4 linked regions of the Saccharomyces cerevisiae S288C genome follow. The protein of the gene in region 1 interacts with the protein of each later gene in a biochemical or structural test. Each region holds a gene or a part of one and is shown on either strand. Other genes may lie near its edges. The genes, in order: LSB3, ACF2, ERT1 and LAS17.

Region 1 (7,286 bases):
TCTAACATTAAGGTTCGCCATAAGCTCAAATTTTTCATCATCCTAATTAACCCAGATGGTCATAAATCTGAGTTAAGAGCGTCCTTACCGATTCAACTTTTTATTTCACCATTTGTGGCACTTTCAATAAAACCATTGTCATCCTCGAATTTGTATTCGCTTTTTAGCACCACTAACCAGAAAGACGAAAACTCATCACAAGAAGAGGAAGAGGAATATCTGTTTTCTAGATCAGCATCAGTCACAGGGTTGGAATTATTAGCGGATATGCGTAGCGGTGGCTCTGTTCCTACCATTTCAGACTTGATGACGCCCCCAAATTATGAAATGCACGTATATGATCGTCTTTATAGCGGTTCTTTCACTCGCACGGCTGTGGAAACGTCTGGAACATGTACTCCTTTGGGAAGCGAATGTTCGACTGTCGAGGATCAGCAACAGGATTTAGAAGATTTACGTATACGGTTGACAAAAATTAGAAATCAACGTGACAATCTAGGGCTACCACCGTCTGCCTCGTCTGCTGCCGCTTCCAGATCGCTATCTCCATTACTAAACGTTCCAGCACCAGAGGATGGCACGGAGAGAATCTTACCTCAGAGTGCTCTTGGTCCCAATAGTGGCTCTGTGCCAGGAGTACATAGTAACGTATCACCTGTTTTACTTTCAAGATCCCCAGCCCCAAGCGTGTCAGCCCATGAAGTGTTACCAGTGCCCTCGGGCTTAAATTATCCAGAGACTCAAAACCTGAACAAGGTTCCATCGTATGGCAAGGCAATGAAATATGATATCATTGGTGAGGACCTTCCTCCTTCCTACCCTTGTGCGATACAAAATGTGCAACCAAGAAAACCCAGTAGGGTACATTCCAGGAACTCTTCGACAACATTGTCATCTTCTATACCAACTAGCTTTCATTCCTCTAGTTTTATGAGTAGCACTGCTTCCCCTATTTCCATAATTAATGGCTCTAGAAGTAGTTCTAGTGGGGTATCTCTTAATACACTTAATGAGTTAACTTCGAAAACTTCGAATAACCCATCCAGTAATAGTATGAAAAGGTCACCAACAAGACGGAGGGCTACTTCTTTAGCTGGGTTTATGGGAGGTTTTCTATCAAAGGGTAACAAACGATAGTCGCCGATATTGTTTCGGCTCGTGCATTAAGCTTGTATAGTTTCATATAGAAAGTGATGTATATAGCATTTACGCACTCTAACTGGCATTTTAAAGAAAAAGGGATAAATGCAATGTTTGGCGTGCGGCAGTATAAGTTCAAAAAAATCCACTGCATTGTTGAAAAGAGTCAGGTCGATCCTGCTATTGGTTTTCAGTTTGAGGGATCCTTTGATTTGCTAGATATCATAAGATAAATGGTCCACCATAAAGTAATTAAATCTTGAAATTAAATTCTTATTCCATTAGAGACAGAGAAACTATTCATTGTACATTCTCCAAATGTGGTGATATAAACACTACATTCGCTAAATTACATTATATTATTTCGAGCTTTGTCTTGTTTATATTTAGTTACGTTGGGATCAAGTTTTAAAAAACTAGATCTGGAGTGACCAAAAAAAAAATACCCAGCGTAAGGTAAATATTATGGATATGCTTTGGAAGAAAAGAATTTTGAGACTTACACATTATTCGGCACAGTAGGTACTAGAAAGCATAGAATCACATTCGCCTTTAAAGACATTCTTTTTTCTTGCTCCTTCTATGGACTGCGACACAATAGTTGTTTTTGTGTCGTACCGAAGAAAAAGCCTTGTGCAGAAAGCAAAAATAGTACACTTCTAGCCTTGATTACCAAGAGTTATGACAAAAATTTGCAGTTCAGAGTATACCTTAAAAACTGTTCCTAAGGTCAAATAAAGAGGAAAATAATCAAACTAATTATTCATTAATTGAACGAACCAATAATAACGAGAGAATCAGTATCACAAAAAAAATTTCAACCTACAAGAGGAAACATGTATTCTATTTCAAACAAAAAACCTTCTATACTCAGTATGGTTCCCCTGAATATTTTGAAAAACCAGGATTTGAAAGTAAAAAAAGATCAAGAAAAGAAAATATCATTTAACCCCGTAGTTACTCCTATTAGGCCAGACGACTACCACGAAAAAACATCCAGATCGTCAAGTTCGAGCCATTCTGATTCACCTGAATTTTTGAGAATTAACAACAACAAATCCGGTCACAAGAATGGAAAATTGAAAAGTTTTGAAAGTAAAAAACTAGTTCCGCTATTCATTGGTGACCTCCATGAAACAGTTACTGAAGAAACTTTAAAAGGGATCTTCAAAAAATATCCCTCTTTTGTCTCTGCTAAAGTTTGTCTTGATTCAGTGACAAAAAAATCACTGGGCCATGGTTACTTAAATTTTGAAGACAAAGAAGAAGCTGAAAAGGCTATGGAAGAATTAAATTACACGAAGGTTAATGGTAAAGAAATTAGGATTATGCCATCATTGAGGAATACAACGTTTAGAAAGAATTTCGGCACTAATGTCTTTTTCTCTAATCTACCTCTAAATAATCCATTATTAACAACAAGAGTATTCTATGATACGTTTTCTAGATATGGTAAAATTCTATCATGCAAATTAGACTCTAGGAAAGATATAGGATTTGTTTACTTTGAGGACGAAAAAACTGCGAGAAATGTGATCAAAATGTACAATAATACCAGTTTTTTTGGTAAGAAAATTCTATGTGGAATACATTTTGATAAAGAGGTCAGAAGTGTTCCAAATTTTGAAACACAAAAATCACGATTAGATGCGGAAACAATTATTGAAAAAGAGCAATCTTTGAATGAGAAACACTCCAAGGGGAATGATAAGGAATCTAAAAATATTTACTCTTCATCCCAAAATTCTATATTCATCAAAAACCTTCCAACAATAACTACAAGGGATGATATTTTAAATTTCTTCAGTGAAGTGGGTCCAATTAAGTCAATTTATCTATCCAATGCCACTAAAGTTAAATATCTTTGGGCATTTGTTACATATAAAAATAGCAGTGACTCAGAAAAGGCAATTAAACGCTACAATAATTTTTATTTCAGAGGTAAAAAGCTTTTAGTAACCAGGGCACAGGATAAAGAAGAAAGAGCCAAATTTATAGAATCTCAAAAAATATCTACACTTTTCCTGGAAAATTTAAGCGCTGTCTGCAATAAGGAATTTCTTAAATATTTATGTCACCAAGAAAATATTAGACCGTTCAAGATTCAGATAGATGGATATGACGAAAATTCTTCTACATATTCTGGGTTCATCAAATTCAGGAATTTTGAAGATGCTACGAGAATATTTAACTTTTTGAATAACCGTTTAGTAGGAGGAAGCATCGTCACGACATCTTGGGAAAGACAAAATAATGCACCTAAATATCATGATGGTTATGGAATGCGCAATATACACACCTCTTCTCATCCACAAATTACCCCATATTACCAGTACTCACATGCGAATAGTTTGAACTCCCCACACATGAGAGATCTTTCGTCAATGAATAGCAGCACAAGATCACTAATAAAGAATAAAAATTTCAATAAGAAAGTTTTGGAAACATTCGAAAAGCAAGTAAGAAGAGGTATAGATTTCATGAGATTTCCAAGTGCCACTAGAGACGAAAATGTGCACGGAATAGCTGAGTATATATTCGACACTTATTGGAATCGCGATGTGTTAATATTGGACAAATTTTTATCGTTGCTAAATAGTAGTCCATATCATGAAGGTGTATTGCAAAAACAAATTGAAGAGGCTGCAAGCTCGTTAGGATTTAAAAGATGAATGTCTCTTTGTTAATTTAGCTAGAGTTTTCCTTATTTATTTTTTTTATTTACACTAATTCAATCTTTTTCGTTATATTTAGATATTATTAAAAATTATTATTATGGAAAAAATTCTTAAAAGGATAGACAGAGGGACGCCGTCTGCTATATGATATGTATTTAGGTCCGAGTGCTGATAAACTGTAAGGCAAAAGGTATAAGTGTAAATCAATAACGTTTCTCGTATTCTTTACTCTCCTTCAAATTTTTTAAACTAGTTCAACGTAATTTGCTGGGAATATACCTTCTCTACCGTTGACTCTTCCGGTCCACCAGTCATTTTGAGAATCTGATTTTTTCAAAATTGTGATCACGTCACCCTTTCTGAATGGTAAATCTCCGGACTCTTCTCCTGCAAAGCTATATAATGCCACGGCCTTTGGAGAAGACGTGGATGGGGATGTTGGAGCAGTGAATCTGCCCTGACTAGTTTGCGGTGTTGAAGCGGACGAGATTCTAGATTTAGAAAATCTGTTCGACAAGTCATCGACTTCACGGTCTTTTGTCCTATCTCTTCCATTCCCGCGTCTATACCCGGATTCATAATCATCATCATAATCATCGTATTCATCATCAGCCCAACGATTTCTTGAAGAACGAGCCCTTGACTGAGCAGTTCCTGATCTTCTGTGGCTGGCATAATAACTTGAAGCTCCAGATGGGTCATCCAATTTACCACCACTACCGCCACTGTTGGTAGGAGCCAGTCTTGAATTCCTTGAATAGCCAGTACCATAATCATCATCGTCATCATCATCGTCGAACGTATAACGAGAACCGCTTTGGGCTCTTCTCCTTGTGGATCTTGTGTTAGGTCTAGTGGAGGAAGCATCTGTAGAACTGAATGAACTAGGAATGTCATTATAGTAATCGTCGTCGTCATAGTAATCGTCTTCGTCGTCATCGAAACTGCCACGACCACCGTTGGAGGGTCTGTAATTAAACGCCCTGGACTCTAAAACACGAAACAATGGATCAACTGCTGGAGGCGGTCTTATCCTACCAGACAAAATCATTTTCGCGGTACAATTGTCACCATAAAATTTTCTGTTAGCCTCTCTTCTTTCTATAATAGCCGAACCTTCCACAGAAACCCCTGCAAATAGACCTTTACTCTTAGAATAGGCAAAAACTGCAGCCACACCACCGGCGGAGGCTGATGCAGCTGCTTCTGCACTTCTACCAAGAGGCCCAGCAGAAACGGAGACGTTACCACCCAACGTGATGGTCCCAAATTCAGAAAACGACTTAACAGCATCCTGAGTATTTAAAATGAAAACAAAATCAGTCAATTCTATACCAACCATCCCACCGGCACCAGCACCTGCCATGGCAATGGCAGATGGAGCTGACCAAGTACCATCCTTTAATCTTGCGACAATCACACCAGAACCAGCTCTACCTGAAAATAGAAAACCTGCTTTTAAGATCGTTATGATAGCCAACCCTTTAGCTCTTTTCAAAACGTCTGGAGGAATGACTTGGTCCGCACCAAAAACTTGGTTTGGTTTGACAAAACTAGCCAAAATCTTCGCTGCTTTTCTTTATTAATTGTTTATTACTAGTTAGTAAATGATGAACAAATTAAGGGAGAACTTTTTTAAAGGTTTCCCAGCCAAACCCGTATAAAACATACTTTGTCTCACTCTTTAAACTCCTTGGAATAGGATTGTTAATACCCATTGCGTGTGATACAGCTTTTGTTTTTGATTTCTTTGCCACCCGTGATCCAAAGCCGTTCTAGATTTCTTCGATAGTTTATACTCTTTCATGTTGAACTTCCAGATGCGGCCGAGTCGGCGAGCAAACAGGGTGCTGCTACTAAACGAACAATAAAGAAAGACAATTTGGGCACCCAATATAAAATGAGCAGTCAATTCAATCAATTCAGTGTGAAATTTTTTTCTTGGAAAGATCATTCACTTCTACACAGCTGTACATGAGTTTATATGACAGTTTTTTTTTATGTACATCCAGTTCAAGATAATCAGATTATATATTGGCCCAAAAGGGATCATTAACGAATTGCGAAATGGGTAATCTCTTTACAGTTAACAGATTCTCTGGTGATTGGCTTTCCTCAAGGTAGCAAATATACTCTAATTGTAGCACGTCTACTATGTATTTCTTTACCTTGTCATAGCACACACCCACTTGCGCCACGCCGTGTGCGTCATCACTTAGAACAAATCTGGATCCACAGTGCTTCTTGACCAGATTACATAAGGTTTTGCTGGGGTACGGCTCCTCGAGGCGCTTTCTTAATGCGGACGTATTGATTTCAATTGCGCCGCCATAGGAGTCTATAAATTGTAAATTTCTTACAACTGCATCGTATATTTCTGGCCATTCACTGATGACGTCCAGTGAAGCTACAGGAACTCCGGTTTCTTCGTTGCAGTTGCCCGATTTCTGGTTTACTAGCATGTCATTGGGCAAAAATAATTTGTAAAGGTCGAAGTGACCCACGACCAACGGTTTAATATTGATCAGCATTTCGTACTGTGATTGGAAGTAAGACAGGAGAAAATGTTTCAAATTATCATTGAAGGAATGCAATGAATTGTACCATTGTTGTTGGTCGAAATCAATAGGGATCCCGTTGACGTGATGGACCGAACCCACACAAAACTTCAAAATATCATTATTCTCCTTCATGAGTCGCTTTGCATATTCGATATGAGCCATGTCACAACTTTCGATCTCCATTCCTATAATGAATTTAGTCCGCACATCGGGTCTATCAGCATAACGAGTCTTGATTTCTTGCGCATGACTCATGAAATTCTTGAACGATGTTTCTAGCTTGGTTATGACTTCCTCAGGATTCTTGCCCAATGACTGCTCTTCGGGGTATATAAACTTGGCCTCAATTCTTGGTATGTGCTCTGTCAAACAGTACGTGTGAAAGTTGAGGTTGACCACTTGATCGACCACGGAATCCAAAGGGTCCGTACCGTGGGCACTATAGTCACCGGAGTGTGAATGGTGTGAGTGCATGACCTCGAGGATTTTTACTGAATTGTACGTATCAAGAAGTACTAAAATGTGTTTGAAAGGGAAAGATTGTACGGGAAATGGAAAATGTACATATAATATCCAGTATCATTTGAGTTGATAGAGATTATCTCTATAGATAGAGAGATTTGACAAAAAAAATAAAAAAATTTAAATGGACGAGTCCGGAATCGAACCGGAGACCTCTCCCATGCTAAGGGAGCGCGCTACCGACTACGCCACACGCCCGAACGTTTGTTGAAATCTTCCAAACAGAAATGATACAGGTTTACTTTACAGCAAGACATTAGTAGTTTCATTAGCTTATCAACATGTATGAAACCGGCAAGATTGAAAGCTTGATTGCCCTTGACGAGCTACTCAAATGTGTAAATATCTGCACAATCAGTTTACACTCATGTTTCCGCGCTTTTAC
Region 2 (8,175 bases), on another chromosome or scaffold:
ACTCCAGTAGACCAAATTGTCAAGGAAACAATCAGCTCTGTCCACAACATCCTACTGCCCAATATTATTGGCCAGCTGGAATCTAAGCCAATCAATGACATTGCTCCAGGTTATATCGCTCTAAAACCCTCTGCTTTGGTCGATAACCCTCACGAGGTTCTGTACAATTTCAGTAATCCCGCCTACAAGGCTCAAAGGGATCAGCTGATCGAGAACTGCTCTAAGATTACAAAAGAGATTTTTGAACTAAATCAATCTTTGTTAAAGAAGTACCCTGAAAGAAAGGCCCCATTTATGGTTTCCACTATTGACGCTGAGAAGTATGATTTGCAGGAGAATGGTGTTTACGAATTACAGAGAATCTTATTTCAAAAATTCAATCCCACTTCATCTAAACTGATATCATGTGTCGGTACTTGGCAGTTGTACCTAAGGGACTCTGGTGACCATATTTTGCACGAATTGAAGCTGGCCCAAGAAAACGGCTATAAGCTTGGGCTGAAACTGGTTCGTGGTGCTTATATTCATTCTGAAAAAAACCGTAACCAAATTATCTTTGGCGATAAAACGGGCACTGACGAAAATTACGATCGTATCATCACTCAAGTTGTCAATGATTTAATCATCAATGGCGAGGATTCTTATTTTGGTCACTTGGTTGTCGCCTCTCATAATTACCAATCCCAAATGCTCGTTACTAATTTGCTAAAATCTACCCAAGACAACTCTTATGCCAAATCGAACATTGTGTTGGGGCAATTACTAGGTATGGCAGATAATGTTACCTATGACCTAATTACCAACCATGGCGCTAAAAACATAATCAAGTATGTCCCATGGGGCCCACCATTGGAAACTAAAGATTATCTTTTGAGAAGATTGCAAGAAAACGGGGATGCTGTGAGATCTGATAATGGCTGGCCATTAATCAAGGCCATAGCAAAGTCGATTCCAAAAAGAGTAGGCCTATGAGAGGACTATAATATATACTCCAATTTCAAAGACAAACCAAAAAACCAAAAAAAAAAAAAAGTATGCATACATAATTCTGATGTTCTAGTTATACATATTATATATAAGTAATGATAATAACACTAATAGTAAAGTAAACGCACGGATATCAAGAGTTAATATACTTGAACCACTTAAATAACAATCTGTTGGTAAAGCTTTCTTCCTATTGATTATGGGTTCGAATAGTACCAGATGTTTTGCCAATCCTAAATCGGTAGGAAAGTGGCTTGTCGTCGTCAGGCTTATTATCAACTCTTATGCACAAGAAAGGTACTCATCTTCTATAAACTACATAAGACCTGAATCTAATCAAAGGGAGAAAGCGCAGAACATCAGATTTAAAGCGGTTTTGCTTGATACACTCAGCCTTGTCTCTTTGTAAGGATTTTGGGGTACCTATGAATAATACATCTAGTAGTGTTAGTAAACCAACGTATGGGATTTTGGGATACATAGTTTTCCAGTGTTTCTTATCCGTGATAGTTTAATGGTCAGAATGGGCGCTTGTCGCGTGCCAGATCGGGGTTCAATTCCCCGTCGCGGAGAATTTTTTTAAGCTTCTATTAAAGAAGCTTTTTTTCACTTATATCTGATGGATGATGAATAGCTAGTTCAAACGGAAATCTTTGATAAAGCTATATCAAAATTCAAAGCCCAATAAGTCAGTATCATGAAGTTTATAGCATTAATATCAGGTGGGAAGGACTCGTTCTACAATATTTTTCACTGCCTGAAGAACAACCATGAATTGATTGCCCTGGGAAATATATACCCAAAAGAATCAGAAGAGCAAGAATTAGACTCTTTCATGTTCCAAACAGTAGGACATGACTTAATAGACTATTATTCTAAATGTATTGGTGTTCCACTATTTAGACGCTCAATATTACGGAACACTTCTAACAACGTCGAGTTGAATTATACTGCTACTCAGGATGATGAAATTGAAGAACTATTTGAACTTCTAAGAACTGTCAAAGATAAAATTCCAGATTTAGAAGCTGTTAGTGTAGGTGCCATCTTATCGTCTTACCAGAGGACCAGAGTGGAAAATGTTTGTTCCAGATTGGGTCTAGTAGTGCTAAGCTATTTATGGCAAAGGGATCAAGCCGAACTAATGGGTGAAATGTGCCTTATGTCCAAGGATGTTAACAATGTTGAAAACGATACTAATTCAGGAAATAAATTTGACGCCAGGATAATCAAGGTGGCAGCAATTGGATTGAACGAGAAACATTTAGGAATGTCCTTGCCTATGATGCAACCGGTGTTACAGAAACTTAACCAACTTTATCAAGTTCATATCTGTGGAGAGGGTGGGGAGTTTGAGACAATGGTCTTGGATGCCCCTTTTTTCCAACATGGATACTTGGAATTAATTGATATTGTCAAATGTAGCGATGGTGAAGTTCACAATGCAAGGTTAAAGGTAAAATTTCAACCGCGTAATTTGAGCAAAAGTTTTTTACTCAACCAATTAGATCAATTACCTGTACCTTCGATTTTTGGTAATAATTGGCAAGATTTAACCCAAAATTTGCCAAAGCAACAAGCTAAAACAGGAGAACAAAGATTTGAAAATCACATGTCGAATGCTCTACCACAAACGACAATCAATAAAACCAATGATAAGTTGTACATCTCTAACCTACAATCACGTAAAAGTGAGACGGTCGAGAAGCAAAGTGAAGATATTTTTACTGAGCTAGCCGACATTCTGCATTCCAACCAGATTCCACGGAATCATATTTTATCTGCGTCATTATTAATTAGAGATATGTCTAATTTCGGAAAAATCAACAAAATATACAATGAATTTTTAGATTTGTCAAAATACGGACCTTTGCCACCATCAAGAGCATGCGTAGGTTCGAAGTGCTTGCCAGAAGATTGTCACGTACAGTTATCAGTTGTTGTTGATGTAAAAAATACAGGCAAAGAAAAAATCAACAAGAATAAGGGCGGACTACATGTTCAAGGCCGTTCATATTGGGCTCCATGTAATATCGGACCATATTCCCAAAGTACTTGGTTAAACGATGATGCAAACCAAGTCAGTTTTATCAGTGGGCAAATCGGACTAGTACCGCAGTCAATGGAAATATTAGGAACACCTCTCACTGACCAAATAGTTTTGGCATTACAACATTTTGATACTTTGTGTGAAACAATAGGAGCTCAAGAAAAGTTACTCATGACATGCTATATTTCAGACGAATCGGTTCTCGACTCTGTCATCAAAACATGGGCGTTTTATTGTTCAAATATGAATCATAGATCAGATCTATGGATGGACAAATCTGATGATGTTGAAAAATGCCTAGTTCTTGTAAAGATTTCTGAATTACCTAGAGGCGCTGTTGCAGAATTTGGTGGTGTTACTTGTAAGAGATTAATAGTGGACGATAATGATTCCGACAAGAAAGAAAGGGAAGAGAATGATGATGTTTCAACCGTATTCCAGAAATTGAATTTGAATATTGAAGGTTTTCATAACACTACAGTTAGTGCGTTTGGATATAATAGAAACTTTATTACGGGATTTGTAGATAGTAGAGAGGAGTTAGAACTTATCTTGGAAAAAACCCCAAAATCAGCCCAGATTACCCTCTATTATAATCCCAAAGAAATCATCACTTTCCACCATCACATTGGATACTATCCGGTGGAGAAACTTTTTGATTACCGTGGTAAAGAACACCGCTTTGGGTTGCATATTCGTTCCTAACTCCAAATGTAGGCCTTATATTTTATAAACTTAATAGATATACGCTGTCCACGCTCCTGGCGGTGTAAATGATAGACAGATCCCAAATATGTTAGCAAATCATAGGAACAACACCATATTGTGAACACGTAAAATTTAGAATACGCCGCACAATTAAGGTGTGTTCTGTAATAATTTGATTATTGATGATGGTTTAGGAACCAATATTCATATAAAAAAATGATCATTCTATAAAATACCTTATCGTAACACTTGTACCATGCTACTAACACTGTATATATTTCTGACCCCTAAGAAAAAGCACCTGAATAAGCTAAAGACCAAGTTAAGCTTTGCCCATTGTCTAGGAAATTTCTGTTGAAATCAGGTTGGCTGAAAAAGTCGTACGAAAATTTTGGATCAAGCAGAGCCATATTTAACATGATTATTCCTTTCCAACCGTCATTCACTTGATCAATTATCGGCTGCATTTTTTCTTCCCACTCCTCTTTGACAAAATTTGGTGTTCTGACCCATGAAGATGCTGATGTTATAGGAATGGCGTGAATCATATGAATGTATTGAGGCTCCATGCCAAAATACGTGGCGTGATCAATTTTATTTTCGAATAAAATACCACTAACTTTATTACCAATAAATTCTTTCGGTTGGACAGTATTATTGCTTTCGTATAGGAAGTAGCTCTGGAAAACATTTCTCATGATGCCGAGTTGTAAGTTCGCTATGTCAGTTAACTTAGAATTTCCAGTTACCAACCCCCACAATTTTATCGCATAGCAAGAATTGACATCTTCTGAAGTAGATTCTTCATCTTTACCGTCACCACTTGGAAATAGTCCTTTGGCCCATGAATGGCCATTAAACCAATCAAATGACCTAAATTGAGGGAAGTACGGATCATCGTTGTCAACACCAGAGTAATCTCTAATTAAGCACTCAACCCAATCTCTATTATTTTCTAACCAGGAGTTGTTAGTAACTCCACTTAAATCAGAATCGACTAAAGAGATAATGGCAGCCGTTATGACATGATAAGAGTAATGAAAATGATGATCATTATAATAAGAGTTACCAAAGTCTTGGCTAGAAGAGCCTGATGAAATTATGCCTTTCCAACTAACGTCGTAATTTAAAGGTAAGACTTGCTGATTGCTGATGAATCTCTCCATTGCAATAGTCAGTTTAGATAATAATTCTTTTGTTAAATTTTCATCATGAAGGATGTAATGTGTCACATAAAGAATCCACGCATACTTTGCAAGTATCTTACCAGAGAAATACATAGAATCTATGTTTGATTCTTGTTGAGGGTCACTCAATTGAACTTCTTGAACAGCAGCTTCCCGAATTTTAGATAGCTTTTCTTGACTGTAATCTGCCTTCTTATTCAAAGATAACGCGACAGGTTCAAAGCCCAATTCTTGAGGTACTTGAACCTGCATATCAAAACTGTTTGTGAGATAACCAGTCATTAAGCCTTTAACTGTGGAATCCAGGCTTGAGGCAATTTCACGTTCCTGCATTTCTGGTGTGAATGCCGCTTTATGATGTGGTAAAGCATACATTAGAGTAGTTCCAGACTGCGAGTAGCCTGCAACCGTATAGTTAAATCTGTAATTTGTGAAATGTTCATCAACAGTTTGCCCTGATAGGTCACAGTATACTGGATAACAGCCCGCTGCCATGTCAATACTGGGGACGGAGTCTGCAGATAATTGACAGATAAGACCATTGATTTTATGAGATGATATTATTGTATTGCTGTCGAGTAATGAAATTTGAAAATCTTGTGGAAAAGAGTAATCAGGTGAGGTCAAATAAAGTATCCAATTCCTATTATTCTCAAGTTGTATATTATATTTACCATATCTTTCATTCACGCTTATGCGCTCTAAGCTCCTGAAACCAACGGCGCTTCTTAATTCAAAACCCAAATCGTGGTAAATAGCCGTGACAAAGCCCATCCCCTGAACCAGCGGGAATTCTATAAACTGGGAACTACTCAAAGACATTAGTAAGCACATGGACATATGTTTCATATCCCGGAATTCAAGCTTGATATCATTTGAAGAGACAAATTCCCTGGCCTTGAATACAAATGATTTTATATTTGTGGGATTGAAGTAGAATCTGGGAGGATTTGTAGTTGTATCAAAAACCCTTTGAGACGCTAAAGTATGATTGGCGGCCAAACCAAACAATTCTGGATCACGAGAAAACCAAATTGAATAAGGATGTGTCCATATAGGTTGTGTATTATCGTCTAATAACATGTTTGTGTAGAACTTGTTTGTCTCCAATGGATCAACAGATTGATCATCAATATTCGGCTTTGGTACCGGGTGTTGAACTTTGTTGAAGACGGAAGGAGGAGCTTTTAAGTTAGAAAGGACAGGTGATTGAAAAATATTGTCACTATTCACCTGGCTGTCAGCTAAAGGGTTAGAACTGCTTGGTGTGCGCAGTGATTCACCTGCCACCCTATTTTCTCGAGGTTTACTGGAGTTCTCAGAAGAACAAACTGGTGGCTGAACATTTGCGCGAGGTGGTAAGGGAGGAGGTCCTCTATTGGTAGTACCGCCAGGTCTATTAGGAACAGGTGGAGGAATGGCTTGCCTACTGTAACACATCTTTTTACTTCTCGTATTTATTTATTTTTGTTTTTATGATACTAGCACTTTTCAGAAATTCATGAATTTTATTTATGGTTCCAAGAAAAAAACTTCAAAGAAATGAGTACTAGAATGATATATCCACAAAAAAAAAAAGAGCAGAAACAAAATGGATGAGATGGATAATGTGATACGATCTCTGGAGCAAGAATATCGGTTAATATTGCTCTTGAACCATAGGAACAAAAATCAACATAGAGCGGCTAGCTGGTATGGATCGTTCAATGAGATGAAAAGAAATTGTGGACAAATAATAACGCTTTTTAGCTCGAGAAGATTACAAGCCAAACGCCTTAAAGATGTTGAATGGGTCAAGTTGCACAGGCTATTACAGAGAGCACTTTTTAGACAGTTAAAGAGATGGTACTGGCAGTTCAATGGCGTAATTGCGCTGGGACAATTTGTAACGTTGGGTTGTACACTAGTAACATTGCTGGCAAATGTGAGGGCACTGTATATGAGATTATGGGAGATTAATGAAACTGAGTTTATAAGATGTGGATGCTTAATAAAGAACTTACCGAGAACAAAAGCAAAATCGGTTGTGAACGATGTCGAAGAACTTGGAGAAATTATAGATGAAGATATTGGCAACAACGTTCAAGAAAACGAACTAGTGATAACGTCTATACCAAAGCCTCTGACAGAGAACTGTAAGAAGAAAAAGAAAAGGAAAAAGAAGAACAAATCAGCCATTGATGGCATATTCGGATAAATATACAAGTAAATAGACTTTTTAAAATAATAATATCAATGCTAATAAATCATTCATTAATGACCTTGTCTGCCCAAGTAGGCAAAACAAACGCACTAGAATGTATTTGAGGATTATAGTACTTCAGCTTCCCTTGTTCTTGCTCAGATATCTTTCTTTGCGGAATGTTCAACGGTATATTGGCGTTATTACTGCAAACAATTAAACCTAATTGGCCAGATGTATAGGTTGGAACCATGGTATAGCAATATTCTGTATTAGGAAATACCTTTTTGGCTGTATTTTTCAAATCATGTAAGTATTTTAAATTTAACCAAAAATTTTCAGAGCTTTGCATAATAACAACGCCATTAGGATTTAAAGCATCTTTCAATAGTTCGAAATACCTCTCTTGAAAAAACGCTTCAGCTGGACCTTCAGGATCAGAACTATCTGTAATAATGACGTCAAATTTCTTATGGACGTCGGAAGCACCTATATCTTGTAAGAACTTGAAGCCATCGCAAAGTTTCAAGTCCAACCTTTCGTCATCGAAAGCACCATTACTCAATGTGGGCAAGAACTTACGGGATAATTCGATCACTGATGAGTCAATTTCTACCATAGTGATATCTTCTACACAGCTGTGCTTGGCTACTTCCCTTAAGACACCTCCGTCCCCACCGCCAATGATAAGTACACGCTTGGGATTAGAATGCGCAAACATGGCAATGTGGGTGATCATCTCTTGATAGGCAAACTCATCAAATTCCGTACATTGGACAATACCATCGAGGACCAAAACAGTACCGTATACCTTGTTACGGAAGATTAAGATGTCCTGAAATTCACTGCGGGCTTCATAAAGTATTGAGTCCACGGTCATAGTAAAGGCCTGGCCCGGAAAACTTTTATCATTAATCTCTCTAAACCATCCATCTTTGATGTAAGGATGCTGTGAATTATTAACCATAATGTATAACTGAATCTGTCACTTTATCCTGCCTGTCTCATCGGCGTTTTGATATTTTATTTTTAACTAAAATCAGCAGCAACTTGAAAAATTT
Region 3 (7,614 bases), on another chromosome or scaffold:
CAGAAAAATATTAGATGTGTAGGTATTTTGCCCATTGATTGCAGCTTTCCATATGTCGACAGCTTCCTCAAACAACAAAAGCTCCTTAAACGCAGTTATCAAATGCATAGCACCGTATTCGTTCAGTTCGACCTTGCCGTTTAGAACGTCTTCGGAGATCTCTCTCAAAGATTTGCAAAGATAGTTTGTCATTTCTTTGTGAAAGGATTGAGAGTCGTAATCAGGTTTCTTGTTCATTCTCGTCAACTGATTTCTATTAGCTCTCAACCCATTGTGAAGTAAATGTACAAGCTTGGAGACACGATCAGAATTTAATTCCGGTGTAGTGAGTAGATCATGATACAGCCCCATTGCTCTACCTATAGAATCCCAAAATAATGGATTAGCGTTAGAATTTGGATGTTCTGAATGGTGTTTCATGTTTTGACGCCTTGGAGTTTGTGACATATAAAGAGTCTGTGAAACGCAATCTTCGAAGGCACAAACCTTATGAAACCATGGGGAGTCTGGGCTAATTGAATTACCTTGATTGGAGTTATTATACTTGCTATGATTATGGTTATTTTGATGATGGTTACGATTGTTATTGTGGTGATGATTACGGTTATTGTTATGATGGTTGTTACTATTATTGCTGTTATTCTGAGCTAGATGATTGTTGTTGTTGGCTCCAATGTTGCCACCAAAGTGAGGAACAAAATGGTTGGCTGGGCTTACCTGATAAGTAGCGAGGGCTGGATTGTTAAAAGTAGCAGGCGTGTAAGGAATGGCATAGTTGTGTTCATGGTGCTCCATAGCGATTGTACCGTTAAATTTCATTGGATGAGTCAGCGAATTCTTTGTCGGATGTGGAACAAACTGGTTTGGGGGTTTGCCCTTCAGTACTTGTGTTTGCTGAGCTAAACGGATCATAGGATCAGATTTGCAAGATAGAAAAGCAATTAGAGTAAGAAATATCAAGCTAATCACACGTTTTTAAAACCTCGATCCAACTATAGAACGTACTGTATTCAAGAAAAAAAACTGAGAGAAGAATGAAAGGAAAAGGGTTTCTATAGATATAACCAATGCGATATGTAACTTCAGTGCTGAACGACAAAGTTTCTTTATTGCCTTATTTTGACTTTCTTCGAGATGTCCATGGCATAACTTGAGCAAGGTTGAAAAAATTTTCTTTTCTTTTTTTCTCCGAAAGAAACCCGTTTCTTTTGGTGCACACACAAAGCTCGTGCAGAGTGCTGTCCTCTGAGAAATTACCGCAGAATCAGAGGATCTATGAAATTGCCTCTCTTGTACGAGCAGTTCACTGCAGGCACTCGTCCCTTCACACGGAAAAACAATATGGGAAAAGTTGCCTGAAAGTTTAAGCTTTTTTACATATTATCAAGGCAAGAAAAGAAGAGAAATTTTTCGAGAAAATGAACAACGAAGCAAACAATATGAAGAGGACTGCTGCTATTTTTCCAGTTAGGTACCATGTGGCATGCTGTTTTTCCGCAGTTCGTTATGTAAGGTGGAAGGCGGTGGTGTGTGAGACATGCCCTGTGAGACATTGGAAACTCATGCGTACAGAAAGTGAAACTAGCTCAATTGGTTGAGTTTTTTGATGGTATACGCCTGATGTTTTTTTCGACAACAGGTGAGTGAAATAAAACGAAGAGCAAAAAAAGAAGAAGAAATTTAAGAAAAAAAAAAAAAAAAAGGGAAGAAAAACGGAGCTACCCAATATCGGAAGATTCGTAAAGGCCGCCATATACACAATAGGGGCCCTTCGTTATATGTGCTCGAGCCTCTGGATATCGACCAGAATGAGCAGACGCCTACGAAACTGGTCAAGGCTTCAAGTAAAATTGCTGGAATCTGTTAACACTTTTAAAAGAACACAGTTCTTGACTTACTTTTGGTCTATGCATAGGTATTATATAATACGAGGTAGTAAAATGAGAAAAAAAGAAAAAAAAAGTCAATTGAGTATGGGCATGAAGTTACCCAAGATCATGAGGGGCAAACCAGAGACATCTCTTTTTAATGTCCACATACAGCAACAATGAATTATCTTGCCCTTGATGGGGCTTAAGAGCCTGCAAACTTTCATCTTCTCAGATCCTCTGAAGTCCCTATATGCAACTTTAGAGAGCGTTTTGAAGTAATCGCGTACACTTTCATCGTCCATGATCTCTACGATAAAAGTCATCTTGTTTAGTAGCTCCTCTCTTGTCCATCCGCATAGAATTTCAAATTCCTCGTTGACATAAGAAATTTGACCATTTCTTCGCCAAATACATGTCGGGGTACCGATTTGTGCAATAAATTTTACATATTCTAATAGAGTTCTTTGGTAGCATTGCTCCATAAAAATCATGTCCTCCTCGGTTAAAGTTACAGAACACGCAATGAAAATGGGCCGGAATTCGGCAATGGACCGACACATCTTCACCAGATCCTGCTGGTTGAATCGATGCTTTAGGTACACCAAAAGATGGTGGAATCCAGGTGTATGCGAAAAGGGGGCATTTATGGAGGTGTATATTTCCATTGGAGTAGAATAACGTAATGAATGTTCCCATTCTACATTGCTCTTGATGTTGGCAGCGTCTGGTGAACAGCTTTCCAGGGATACAGAGACCAAATGGTTTTTCCTCCGCTTTAAGGGGATAGCCAACTCGGGAAATGTTACCGTTTCGCTGTTCAAGTAATATTGGTTTATGCTTGAGTCCCAATTAATTTGGGAGCTCTTTTCAGATGGGTCCCGTGGCAATAATCTTTTAAAGTTTAAGGAATTATCAGCTGAATCAACGGGCACTAAGGGGAAATGGTTCGCGAAAAGATTAACTTGCGAAGCTACAATCTTGGCTGAATTTGGTCCCAGTAGAATAGAATAAACGTTTTGATTGGAAGATGGATACGGATGTGGGGGTATGTTTGCTCGCTGTTCGCTGTACAACTGGCGAATTTTCTCCATTTCTGTTTCTTCAGGGCTTGTATTTGTGCCCGTAGGGCTATTGTTACTGCTATTGCCTATTGTGGAGTTGGATGTGGAATTGGTGTTGGAGTACAGGATGTCAATAGGGATCTTGTTAGACAATGTGTCTTGATAGATGATATTCGACAGAATAGAGTACTCGGAATCTGCAGCATTCGATAGGAATTTAGCTTTGTGAACTATATGTTGTGGGCTGGTGAATTTTTGCTGTTCTCCCATGTTATTTACGTTGAGGCTACTATTGCTGGAGTTGTTATAAATGGGTATCATGATCTTGCGGGGTGGAAGGTCCGGTTGTATGTTCATTGGGAGCTCTCTATTCGGTATTCCAGCCAAGTACTTGCTTTTCTTTCTTGGAGCGTCAACGCATGTAGCCGTGAGGCCCTTGCTGATACATCGTAAGCATGGCCTTTTGGCCTCACATGACACATGCAATCTCGAACAGTTCACGCATGCCACGTTTGTGTTTTTTCTCTTTTTTCTCTTCTTTTTTTCGAGAGTATGATTTGTATTTGCAGATGTATCTGGGTCAGTTGATGTTTTGTAATCGTTTTCATCTGGAGTGCACATCACGATGATTCATCAATGTATTTTATTTTTATACCTTCGTGTGTCTGTTGTACCCAAAAGAAATGATAAAAATAGCTCAAGAGTATCCTGACTTTATATAACTAGCAATTTTATCTAAGAGAGTAATGCCGTTGCACCGGCTCTTGTTTAGTTTTTTTATGTGGTTACTCTTTTACAATATACTAAAATTGCAACTCATTTGCTTTTTTCATTTCTTTTCCTTCAATTTTTTTTTTTTTTTAGTCTACGGCTAACAAAAAGCATAGGCTCAGAATGATAGATAGATATCCGATAAATGTCAGTAAAGACAAAGAAATCAGTAAAATAAACGTTTCACCCTGGCAGATAGGAAACCCTATCTCCCAGTGATAAACTTTAATTTTTTTTCGTGCATATATATATATACATATATAATATAAAACAAAATATCATGAATTTCTATCTAAAGTAGTGGGAAAAAATATGTCGTTAAAAATGGGTATAATATCCAAGCAAAGCTTTTGGCTTTTTTTTTCTTGAAATGAGTGAAGGGAAGGCTCAATAAGCCTAGTCCTGCATGGCATATACATCCTTGTAAAATTGTTGATTACACTTCAGTTGTAGCTGCCAGTACCGCAGTTGGGAACATGAAAGTGTGGTATCTTGACATGAGCAAAGTTGTTGCAATATTGTATCTTTCCAACTATTCACTAGGCGCTCCGTGACCAAGACATGTAACTCCGACGTAAGCTCGTCCTGGTAGGGATCCTCGAATAAGTCGGCATTCCCTAGCAATCCATTACAATGGTACAGGACGTCTAAATCTTGTGTATTGTTTATGATAAAGTTGACCAGCGGATACATCGAAAATCTCAATAGCTTTTGCTGGAGAAACCACACTCTTAGAAGCTTTGTCAAGTTGGGGCAGGTATATCCATGAATGATGACCAGCATTGTTATAGCTATGGATTGCCAATCGACACAACTCCAACGAGCGATGCACTCTTTGAACAGGCACGAGGCCATATTGATGTCCGGGTCGTCAATTATTTTCCCAAGGAAGCGTATGAATTCCGTGGTCAACGAGTTCCTCATCTTATTGATGAACCACGTCGTGTATTCTTGTCGGTTCAATATCATGTTCCCGTAGCAATTAAACCATAGGATCCCGAAAATTTTGCCTTGGATAATATCGATCAAAGAGGTGCTGTCTTCTGGCGGCGATGACAGCGCTGCAGTAGTGGTTTCCTCTGCTGACGACATCGAATGACCCGGCGACGGCAGCTGATCTGTAAGAGCAGAGGTAACTGCAGCCGGATTGGCCCTGAAAACTGAGTAAGGCCCGTGTTTGGAGCAATTGAGGTTGACCACAGATATGTCGTTTTCCACCATATTAAGCAATTCGTCCAACTTCTTGTCTATGCGCTTTTGAGTATAATCTCTATTTGTCATGCTACCAAAGACAGAGGCCACAGCGTTATTGTATATCTTCAATCTCCGTACGCTTATGGTGAATGTATTATCGTTAGGAAGCGTAGTTTCCTTACTTGCCTCGTGCACGCTGTCTTCGCAGTCACTTGTCGGGGGTGATAGTTGTCTAAAATGGGTCATTTGTTTAAACCTTGATTTTGAGATTTTCTGGCACAATGGTTTCGATTTCGATTTGCGAGCCTGTAATGAACTGATCAGTGAATGCTTGCGTACTTTGTAGATGTTCTCCTCTAACCACATAAGTCTGATATCGTAACTACAATTATCTCCATGTTTGGCACACAGTGAACAGATTGGTCTATTCTCGTCGCATCTGCGTTTCTTGAATCTGCATGCCCAGCACCCAGTAAATGTCCTCCCCTTGGTGGGGGGCACTTTGGAGGATGACGCTACTTTCTTGCTTCTCTGCTGCCTCTTACTATTGACCATTTGGTTCTAGTGCGGATATATATATAGGCTATATATATACGTGGTGAAATGAAATGAAAACGCTTTTAAAGTGTGCAGAAATTGTTATAGCTCTAACCCGTAGTATTAGTTCCCCATATAATTCCGACCGAGAAAGGTGCACCCACTTGTCATACAAATTGTACATATATATATATATATATATATATATATATATATATGTATATATTATACCTGCAAGCAATTGCACGCGAGTACTCTGCGTGAGTCAAAAGACTGTGGTAAAATGGTACCCATCTGATGCAGGAATTCCGACTCTTTCAAGCTAAATGCCGTTTCATTTTGGCACGGATGCATTCGCAGATTGGTTGGAAATCCGCATACATCAAATGCGCCAAGAGGGCTGCCATTGTATATTCCTTTTCTCGGCAGTCCTGCCGGATGCATTTATGCCGCTAAGACGCAGAACCGAATATTGGGCTCAGGAAAATATGCAGATAGACGCTCGCCCGTGAGCGACTCATGACGCGCGTGTGCTATTTTGGCCCCGGCAGTACAAGCGGTAGTCATGGTTTCCGCCACACGGATCTCATACAACAGCAATCCATTTGGTTTGCCTAGTTCCGTACATATACATAGATACTAACTAAATGAGTGCATATACTCATGTAGCCGTTCGTTACTAGAAGAAGAAGAAAATAAAAAACAGATGAATAGCTAGAAAGAAGTAAAAAATAGTTGCTTAGGTATATATGACTGGCTACAGATCAGTAGCCAGCCCAAACCTCGCTGTATGTAGTCTTGCCCTTTGTCTCGGGTACACGCTTGTACACATATGTAGCAAACATGGCAGCGATGGCGGCGAAGATCGCAAATACGTAGCCGCCCATGAGGCCGTGGCCTATCGGGAAGAGGTATCCGACGATGAAGGTGGCAAGCCAGTTGCACACAGTACCAAAACTTTGAGCTGTAGCGGCATCCTGCGGGTAGGATAGCTCACCAATGATCAAGAAGGGGATGGGTCCCAGACCGATGGCGAATGCGGCAATATAGACAAAAGTGGCCGTGACCAGTAAAAAGGATACGCTCAAGGTGAGACCTACACTGATCAGCAGCGACATGGCGGTCATCACCGTAGTCGAGGCAAGCAATAATGGACGGCGCCCGACGTGGTCGATGATCGCAGATGCTGCTAGAGTGACAACGACATTGAGGATGGAAATGGCAAAATTTACCTGAATCGAGTAGTCCGGTAGAATCTTGCCGATCACTTTTACACCGTAGAAGATAATAGAGTTGATGCCGCAAAATTGCTGGCACGACAAGATGGCGAGTATAACTGTGCGCGGTTTCTTGTATGAGGGATCGGTAACATATTGCCATAGTGTGGGTCCTGAATGAGTCTCTTCGCTTGACTCCGGGTCGCGGTTGTGCCCATGGCTACGCTGCCAATCCTGAATTTCTTGCTTCGCTTGTTGGTACGTTCCTGGACGCAACTTGAACAGAGCAGTTTCAGCTTCCGAGACGAATCCGTGGCTCACCAGCCACCTTGGAGATTCGTCCACTTTGAGCCAAGCTAAAATATTCGCTACCGCAATCACGGATCCGGAAAAGAGAAGCCACCTCCAGTTATAGGAGTCTGCGTACTTGAGTGCCAAGGTTTGGGTCAGCAGGATACCTAGATTGATAGAAACCTGATTCATAGATCCCATAGCGCCTCTCCACTCCACGGGGGCAATCTCGTTGATAAATAAGGGTGTGATCACAATGGCGGTGCCGCAGGACATGCCTACCAGGAACCTGCCAAATAGCAACTGCAAGTAGGAGTTGGAAAAGAAAAGCAGCAGAGAAGAAACCATGCACATGGCCGAGGCGCCCATGCTCACGTACTTTCTTCCGTATCGGTTGGCCCAGTTACCGGCGTAGTACGACCCAAACAGTCCGCCTATGCTGAATATAGACGTAATTGCGCCGTATTGAGAATCGGTTAACGCAATGCATTGCTTGAGTCCGTGTTGCCCAACCCAAGTGTCATCGTATGAGATGTTTTCGTCTGGTGCCTCAAATCTGGAGCACGATAAGAATTCTTGAGGCGCATTCAACTCTGCGATGTGGTATCCGTACTGGATCGACCCCAAACAAGCAACTATCGTGCCCAAGATTAAATGGCCCGTAATTAACGG
Region 4 (7,862 bases), on another chromosome or scaffold:
TTATAATCTTTAGCGTTGAAGATAACTTCAGCAGGAACGTGCAATCTCTTTGCCTCTTCAAAAGATTTCTGAGACCAACTACCGGTGACTAAATAACCGGCAGGTGCAATCTTCCCATGCTTACCCACATATGCAGCTGCCAAATTAGTAGCAACGGAAGAAAAACCAGTAGTGCCACCACCTTGCAAGTAGAACACTTCATGAGTGTCAGGAATATTTAGCAGTTCGATTAAGTGCTTCTTAGAGTCTTCAATCACTTTGGTGGCATCCTTCGAACGGTGAGAAATTTCACCGATACCCAAACCTATGTCATTGAAATTGATTAAGTCTTTAGCAGCTTGTTGCAAAACTGGTGTAGGCATTTGAGCTGGCCCTGCTCCGAAATGTTGTGGTTCCTCTCTTTCCAAAGACATTGTTTCTTATCACTAATGGTTAATCGATGATTGATCAACTAATTAGACCTGTGTTGTTCAATTAAGTAATTTCAAAGGCTCCTTAATGTCTTTGTCTATTTTATGAAGGCACTTATATATATACATACATATAAAACGTATAAAAGAAAAGTAGTCATTAATTCGCGATGCTTAGAAAGAGTCACTACTTTTGGGCGTACAAGGTAAGAATAATTTGAATGGTAAGCTCGTGACCAAATTGTGGCTGCAGTTAAGGTGCCTCGGCCGGTGTCAGGTAAATTAATGCCGTCATCCGGGTTTCCTGTCCTTATTATGGCTTTTCTTTTGGGACCATACATCCGTACATATTGTGGACCCATTTCTTTTTCGCGCAGATGTTTTTTGCGTCTTCTGCTTAGCGGGCAAGGGTGACCGAGTTTCCCATCTATGCTGCATTTTCCTCCAATTAGTTTTGTCCCGTATTCACCATGGTGAAGTAATCTCATCCCAATCTTCAATATTAAGGATGAAGATTCTGAATTAGCACTCCTTCCTCAAGATACTAGATAAACAAATTATACAAAATGGTACGTTAATATTGTGTTAAAATGCTCCACGAAACGCTTTTTTTAGGAAACTTGTCCCCATACAGGAAGAAGGTGTATTAAAAGGGAAAACTACGATCAAAGTAATATTTTGAATAGGAAAGATTGCCCCATGATAATATTAATAATCCATCAAATGCCTGTAGATAATGACTGAAAAATGAAAAGAAAATAAAATATTGTATCATTATTATGTTGAGATGTAAATGTACAAAAAAGGAAGAAAGACGAGAATTTCAAAGGACGATTATTCTCGTTAATATTCACAACATGTTGAATATAGACCTTTCCTAAAAAATTAGCGTCTGCGTTGCAGTAACTCCATAACACAAGTCTGAATATCTCATTACTAACATTAAATGAAAAATTTTTTTTTTTTCAAATTCTCCTTAGGCTAAAGTTCACGGTTCTCTAGCTCGTGCTGGTAAAGTTAAGTCTCAAACTCCAAAGGTTGAAAAAACTGAAAAGCCAAAGAAACCAAAGGGTCGTGCTTACAAGAGATTATTGTACACCAGAAGATTCGTTAACGTTACCTTGGTTAACGGTAAGAGAAGAATGAACCCAGGTCCATCTGTCCAATAGATACTATCTAAAATTCTATACTTTTATTGTTCTACATGTGTAATTAAACAAAAATATTATAATTAGGAAATATTTACCCTTTTTACATGGGTTTTTGATTCGAACTGCTAAAATCTAGGATTTACTATACATCATTTTCTCAAACATTTGAAACGGCCATAGGGATGGCCATCATTGTAGCCCGACTATTACCTTGATCATTCAATCACTGACCGCCTTTGAACCTATATCAAAATTTCCTCCGATTAAAGAAACTATACATAAAAAGAGCAATTACTTTGATCATTAATAGTGAGTACATAAAATTACATATTTTCTATAACAGTAGTTTCATCTTTGTTTGCATTCCATTACCAATCATCACCATTGTCCATATCGTCATGAGCTCCCACTTTAGTTTTTCTTTTGTTTAAAGCTGCTGCCAACGCATCTGCTAAAGAAGCCGGAGGTCCACCAGGTGTGCCTCCATTTCCAGCCGCTGCTGGTGGTGAAGCAGATTCTCCACGTGCTTCCTGCAGTAAAACTGAGGGCTTATCTAGCTGCGATTTGTCAACTTTTCTCAAAGCGCCTATGCCACCTGCCCCTCTAATTGAAGCTAAAAGTGCATCACGACCTGCATCTCCAGTAGTTTCAGCGAATGAACCGCCTCCGGATGTTGATGTAGCTGGCATTTGAGGAGGTGGGGGTGGAGCTGGAGCTCCTCCAGATTGAGGTTGTTGAGTTAGGAATGCTGGTGGCGGAGGTGGTGCAGCACTCGTCGTCGATGGTAACGTTGGCGGAATAGGTGCTGAGGGTGCTGACTGAGGTATCTGCGACTGGCCTAAAGATGCCGGAGGAGGTGGTGGTGCCACTGGCACATTTGTGGCTTGCGAAGGTGCTTGAGTATTCTGAGGAAGGGGAACTGCAGGTTGTCCAGTTGCTGCAGTCATTTGTGGTGTCAGGGTATTGAAAGTTGTCACTGGAGGAGGGGGTGGAGATGACATGTTGCTATTTGTCTGATATCCAAAGGGGCGGTTAGAATTATTGTACTGTTGTGGATTTTGTTGCATCGTAACGTTTGGTGTGGGGCGAGATGCTCTTGGAGGAGGTGGTGGTGCTGGCCCTCTTCTTCCAGTGGCCTGTGGAAGGAGGCTATTTCCACCGGCAGAATTCAGGGTATTACTGGTTACGTGCCTATGTGGTGGAGGCGGTGGTGCTGGCCCACGCCTTGGCGGAGGTGGAGGAGCAGGTAGGCGAACACCTGAACCTTCAGTAGTGGTACGCATTGGCGGAGGAGGTGGCACAGGCCGATTATTTCTGTTAGGCAACTGTGGAAGGGGCCTATTCTGCTGTGGTATGCCCATTGAAGGAGCTTGATTAAACTGCTGCTGAGGTACCGGAAATGGAAATGGGTTTGTTGCAGACTGTGTCGAGGGAATTTCAGGAATTGGGAATGGAAATGGATTGCTTTGGGGTTGCGAAGGCGCGTTATTTTGAGGTGGAGAGTTATGTTGTGGAGGGTCTGGTAATGGCGCAAACTGATTTGGTAAAGGCGGTAAACTATGCTTTGGATGCGTTTCTTCTTTTCTTACTTCAGGAGATGCAGGAGGAAGAGCAGGGGCTGGGGTAGTCGGTGCGGATGCTGTTGTCGAATTGATATCGGAAAATGAACTTGTTTGGTCTGAATCAAATGTTTCGGCCGTTGGCGGAGGAGGGGGAGGAGCCTTATGCTTTGTAGTTGGAATTGTGTCCACATCTTCATAATTATATCTTTTCCTTTGATTGTCAATCAATGACTCCCCTCTTGGGCCGTGCACCACTTGAGATTTTTGTTCTTCTCTTACTTTCTTGGTTAATGCTACAGCATTTTTGTTCAACAAAGTTTTCCTGTTAGCATATCTTTCACGCTTTTGAACTCTCTTTAAAAAGTGCGATGCTTCATTAATATCTACAAACAATAAACCTGCAAAGCATTCTTCCATCTCAAATGTATGAAAAAAAGTACGGTCTTGATAGTATTCAAAATTCACATACAATTCTTGGTCCCAGATAACTCCTCTATGGCCATTGATGTCAACTAATTTCAAAAAAAAAGTATTCCCCACAAGATCGTCTACTAGAGCAAGAGCTCCTGAAAGTCCAGTGTACTGCCATTCATTTTTATCAGGGTATGCAATGTATAGTCGAGCCACCGTAACATCAATAATCTTATTCGACGCTTTTGGTAGAGCCCTTTTGATAATTTCCTTATCTGAAGAGTTTAGGAGTCCCATATTAAATCACGCCTATCAACACTTAAAGTAACGAACTGTAATTTGTAGCGGAGATGGCAATCGCTACAGCACTTCCTTTTCTACTATGTATATTCTACATTCAATATTTATTATTACATATTCATGATTTTTTTTCATAGGTATTGACTGGCCCCTTTTCGGACGTCTCGCACGTATTCAATGATCATATAAACTATTTGGAAAATTCAAAAAAAAACAACTATAAGATCAGTTAAGACTTATATCATAGATCTTTTAAACCAGAGACACAATTTCAAGTACCATGGGCAACTGCTTGCATTGCATTTAGTTTTGCCTTTTTTCTAATTGCAAAAGAAGAGTATTCCAAAACCACTTCTTTGATAAATCGTCCACGTCAGCCGGCGTTACTTGAAACTAAACGCATACTTTATGAAAAAGGGCCATCAACTTGTCTTTTTGTTAACATTCATTTTGAAAATATGAACTTTGGTATAATTGAAAATCTAGCATATCTATATTTTTTGAATATATTTAGGCGATAACTTAAAAAAGCATTGTTTCAGTTCTGAAGTTTGTTGCTTGTTTCTATTCTTTACTGGATGTCTGAAACCCCAAAAAAAAAAAAAAAAAAAGGACTCCACAAGTAGCGGCTGTAAGCGCGCTAAACTCCGACAGTGTATTATATATACGTAAACGATCCTGATAGAAAAATCCAATCCATTACCCCGGGATTATTTTATTACAGAGTAGGATTTTCTGGTGTTAAGTCTAGTGAGTTATCTTCTAACTATGAGCAGTCGTGTGTGCTACCATATTAATGGTCCCTTTTTCATAATCAAATTAATTGATCCAAAACATTTGAACTCTTTAACTTTCGAGGATTTTGTATACATTGCACTATTACTGCATAAGGCAAACGATATTGATTCTGTTTTGTTTACTGTTCTACAAAGCTCAGGCAAGTATTTCTCCTCGGGAGGTAAGTTTTCAGCAGTTAACAAGCTAAACGATGGAGACGTTACAAGCGAAGTGGAGAAAGTCTCAAAGCTGGTATCTGCTATAAGCTCTCCTAACATATTTGTGGCGAACGCATTTGCAATCCATAAAAAGGTTCTGGTGTGCTGTTTGAATGGACCGGCCATCGGACTTAGCGCATCGCTAGTTGCTCTTTGTGACATTGTTTACTCGCAAAACGATTCAGTATTTCTTCTTTTTCCCTTCAGCAATCTCGGTTTTGTCGCAGAAGTGGGAACTTCTGTTACCTTAACTCAAAAACTGGGTATAAATTCTGCAAACGAACATATGATTTTCAGCACACCAGTTCTATTTAAAGAATTGATAGGAACTATTATTACAAAAAATTATCAATTGACAAATACTGAAACATTCAATGAAAAAGTTCTTCAGGACATAAAGCAGAATTTAGAAGGGCTTTATCCGAAAAGTGTACTAGGTATGAAAGAATTGTTACACAGTGAAATGAAACAGAAGCTTATCAAAGCACAAGCAATGGAGACTAACGGAACCTTGCCTTTTTGGGCAAGCGGCGAGCCATTCAAAAGATTTAAACAGCTTCAAGAGGGAAACAGGCGCCACAAGTTATAATAATATAGCATTTAGAGATAGGATTTTAACATAAAAAATCTACTACACGATCATACTTCTGCAATTGTTAAATTCCGGGTTCTTTAATACTTTAATGTTGGCGCACAATATTTTATATCTGTTGTAAAATCCGCTTACAATATAAGTGAAATTGTTCCATTTTGTTTCATAGGAATTCTTACTCAAAAAGGATGTTTTTTAATATTCATATAATATTTACAAATAGCTCTCTGAAAAAAAGGATTTTTTTTTACACCTAATAAAACTGTCATTCATGTTAAGTAACTAAAGTGCTTCACAACTGTACTTAATGAACTGAATCAATTTCCTTGGCAATGCAAATTCTTCCAGACAAGAGGCGGCCGCGGCGGTATCTCTAGAAAATTTGGCAGCCGCACAAAAGGGTCCTACTGATGACGGGCTGGCAAACGGCGCTCTCCAAGGCACAAACTTTGTGACAAAATAGAATCCAGCGGCAGAGATCCGGATAAAAATGGGGGAGTGGACTTTCAAAAGCCGTACACCTCTTGTACTGAGGACAAATAATACAAGTTAAACTTGAATATTTAGATATGAGACAAAATGCTAACGCACATTCTCACTCCTAAATACTTAATTTCGAAGTCTGCGTTCCAAGATATGTAAGCCATCCATTCATACGGGATTGATGGAAAAGTCAGTAAATTTACAATACCCCTTTTATTCTGTTTGATGTGACAACTACTCGAAATCTGCGTAGTAATAAATATAACCAAAGGGAGTTCTAAAGAAGAAAAAAGGAACTCCCCAAAATAGGTCAACGATTACGAAAATTTTTATATGTTTGTTGGAAGTATTCGAGGAATGAAAAGAAAAATGGGTAGCAAACTGGGAATAACTGAAATAGAACCAAACGTCATCTTTTTAGAAAGAAAGGCATTCTTAGAATCATGATATGCCGTCCTTCGACCATATTGTGACCTAAGCTTTTTCTTCGACAATTGATACTGCATAATCGAAGGAGGATAAAAAAGTTGTTACGATAGTATTCCTTGAATGCACTTGGACTATATATACATGTTTATATTAGACGCATCTTTGACATTTTGCTTGCGCTAACCTTGCAGGTAAGGAGAGCAAAGGGAAAATGCATCGAAAAAAAAAAAATCGTGCTATTTTCGCTAATAACTATGCAAAATCAAGTGAAATGGTGTTTCTCGAAAAAGGTCACAAGCGCAACTTTATTTTCATGGTATATTCAGAATTTATTTTAATGATCGAAAAAAATTGGCCTAGCAAAGTAATCATTCAATAGTTTAAAGGCGGTTGCGGAGGATAGTGACAGAAAGAACTTCAGAAAAAGGTCCCTAGCCTAAAAGGAGCCATCACTATTAATGAACTCTATGAAGTTTCTGCTAAGAGAAAAGAATTTAGCCGATGTTTTGTTCAACTGCGACGCTTAGGGAAGAAAACATCGAAATATCGCAAGTTGTGTAACCCAGGCCACTCAAAGTCGAGTCTTTAAAAGTAGTGGTTTTATGCATATGTGCTGTTGTTGTTTTCCGAGAGGGATGCATATGAAATCTAGCCGAAAAGGCGATATCGTAGTATACAATGATTATGTATTTTTTTTGATTTTAATTTTTAGATAACCGACGATGGGGATAAAAGATATAAATCATAATGGTATCAAGCATCGTTGCTACTATGAAAAAAGACTTTATGTGATAAACATGCTTTATCTAATCAATTCACTTACTTCTTTACAAAATTCACTCATTCAACGATAGAATAAAATAGTCTCAAATTTGAGATTTTTTTTTTTAACTTCGGATGTTCTTCTTCGGGAAAGGAAGAAAGCAAGAAAAACAAGAAAAAAATAAGAGGAAACGGAGATAAAATTGCATGTCTGCACTATGACTGAACAAGAGCGGCTCACGTAATTTGCATTATAACGTAAAATGGATTTACCCAAGGACAAAAGTGACAGAACTCATCAAAGAATTAATCTAAATAACAGTGGGACAGATCGAACTAATGATTTGTACCTTCATATTGTCCAAACGTTCGGTTGCATAGAAACAACTGCAACGGAAAATGCCACGAAACTGTTAATGCTGGGTGACGTCGAAGTAGAAATATCTGCGAGCAGCGTTTCAATTGAGTGGACACAGAAGTCAATGATAAGCCAAACAATTGCCGATAGTATAGTAATAATGATCATCGGTTTGTGTGCAAGCGACAAGAACGTGCTATCTGAATCAGAATTGAAAGAGAGAAACCATAACGTTTGGAAGATCCAAGAATTGCAAAATCTGTTTCGAGAACAATTTGGAGACAGTTTTAGCATCGATGAAGGAATAGGAAAAAAAGAAAATGTAAAGAATGGTAGCGTCACCATAGGCAAGAGTAAAGCCACGATCGATTTCTCCACCATGAAGCTGATTGATTGTAATTCGAACCCA

The links.
Region 2: the proteins of LSB3 (region 1) and ACF2 interact in a test that uses a peptide from one of them, tested with the Saccharomyces cerevisiae proteins (one study listed by BioGRID).
Region 3: the proteins of LSB3 (region 1) and ERT1 interact in a test that uses a peptide from one of them, tested with the Saccharomyces cerevisiae proteins (one study listed by BioGRID).
Region 4: the proteins of LSB3 (region 1) and LAS17 interact in a test that uses a peptide from one of them, tested with the Saccharomyces cerevisiae proteins (2 studies listed by BioGRID).

Annotation. Positions count from the first base shown.
Region 1 is NC_001138.5:197,898-205,183, forward strand, and holds LSB3 (Lsb3p), read right to left. Parts: upstream 5,537-7,286; coding exon 5,490-5,536; intron 5,396-5,489; coding exon 4,063-5,395; downstream 1-4,062. Other genes in the region: ROG3 (Rog3p), read left to right, coding at 1-1,137; PES4 (Pes4p), read left to right, coding at 1,977-3,812; HIS2 (histidinol-phosphatase), read right to left, coding at 5,846-6,853.
Region 2 is NC_001144.5:425,645-433,819, forward strand, and holds ACF2 (endo-1,3(4)-beta-glucanase), read right to left. Parts: upstream 6,373-8,175; coding exon 4,033-6,372; downstream 1-4,032. Other genes in the region: PUT1 (proline dehydrogenase), read left to right, coding at 1-972; DPH6 (diphthine--ammonia ligase), read left to right, coding at 1,685-3,742; RMP1 (Rmp1p), read left to right, coding at 6,524-7,129; SPE4 (spermine synthase), read right to left, coding at 7,179-8,081. UniProt on the Saccharomyces cerevisiae protein: Cleaves internal linkages in 1,3-beta-glucan.
Region 3 is NC_001134.8:696,391-704,004, forward strand, and holds ERT1 (Ert1p), read right to left. Parts: upstream 3,554-7,614; coding exon 1,964-3,553; downstream 1-1,963. Other genes in the region: YBR238C (uncharacterized protein), read right to left, coding at 1-912; THI2 (Thi2p), read right to left, coding at 4,100-5,452; VVS1 (Vvs1p), read right to left, coding at 6,199-7,614. UniProt on the Saccharomyces cerevisiae protein: Transcription factor which regulates nonfermentable carbon utilization. Activator of gluconeogenetic genes like PCK1. Involved in restriction of Ty1 transposition.
Region 4 is NC_001147.6:671,908-679,769, reverse strand, and holds LAS17 (actin-binding protein LAS17), read right to left. Parts: upstream 3,832-7,862; coding exon 1,930-3,831; downstream 1-1,929. Other genes in the region: SER1 (O-phospho-L-serine:2-oxoglutarate transaminase), read right to left, coding at 1-413; FYV12 (Fyv12p), read right to left, coding at 509-898; 40S ribosomal protein eS30 RPS30B, read left to right, coding at 977-979, 1,391-1,579; putative dodecenoyl-CoA isomerase DCI1, read left to right, coding at 4,603-5,418; cleavage polyadenylation factor subunit SYC1, read left to right, coding at 7,359-7,862.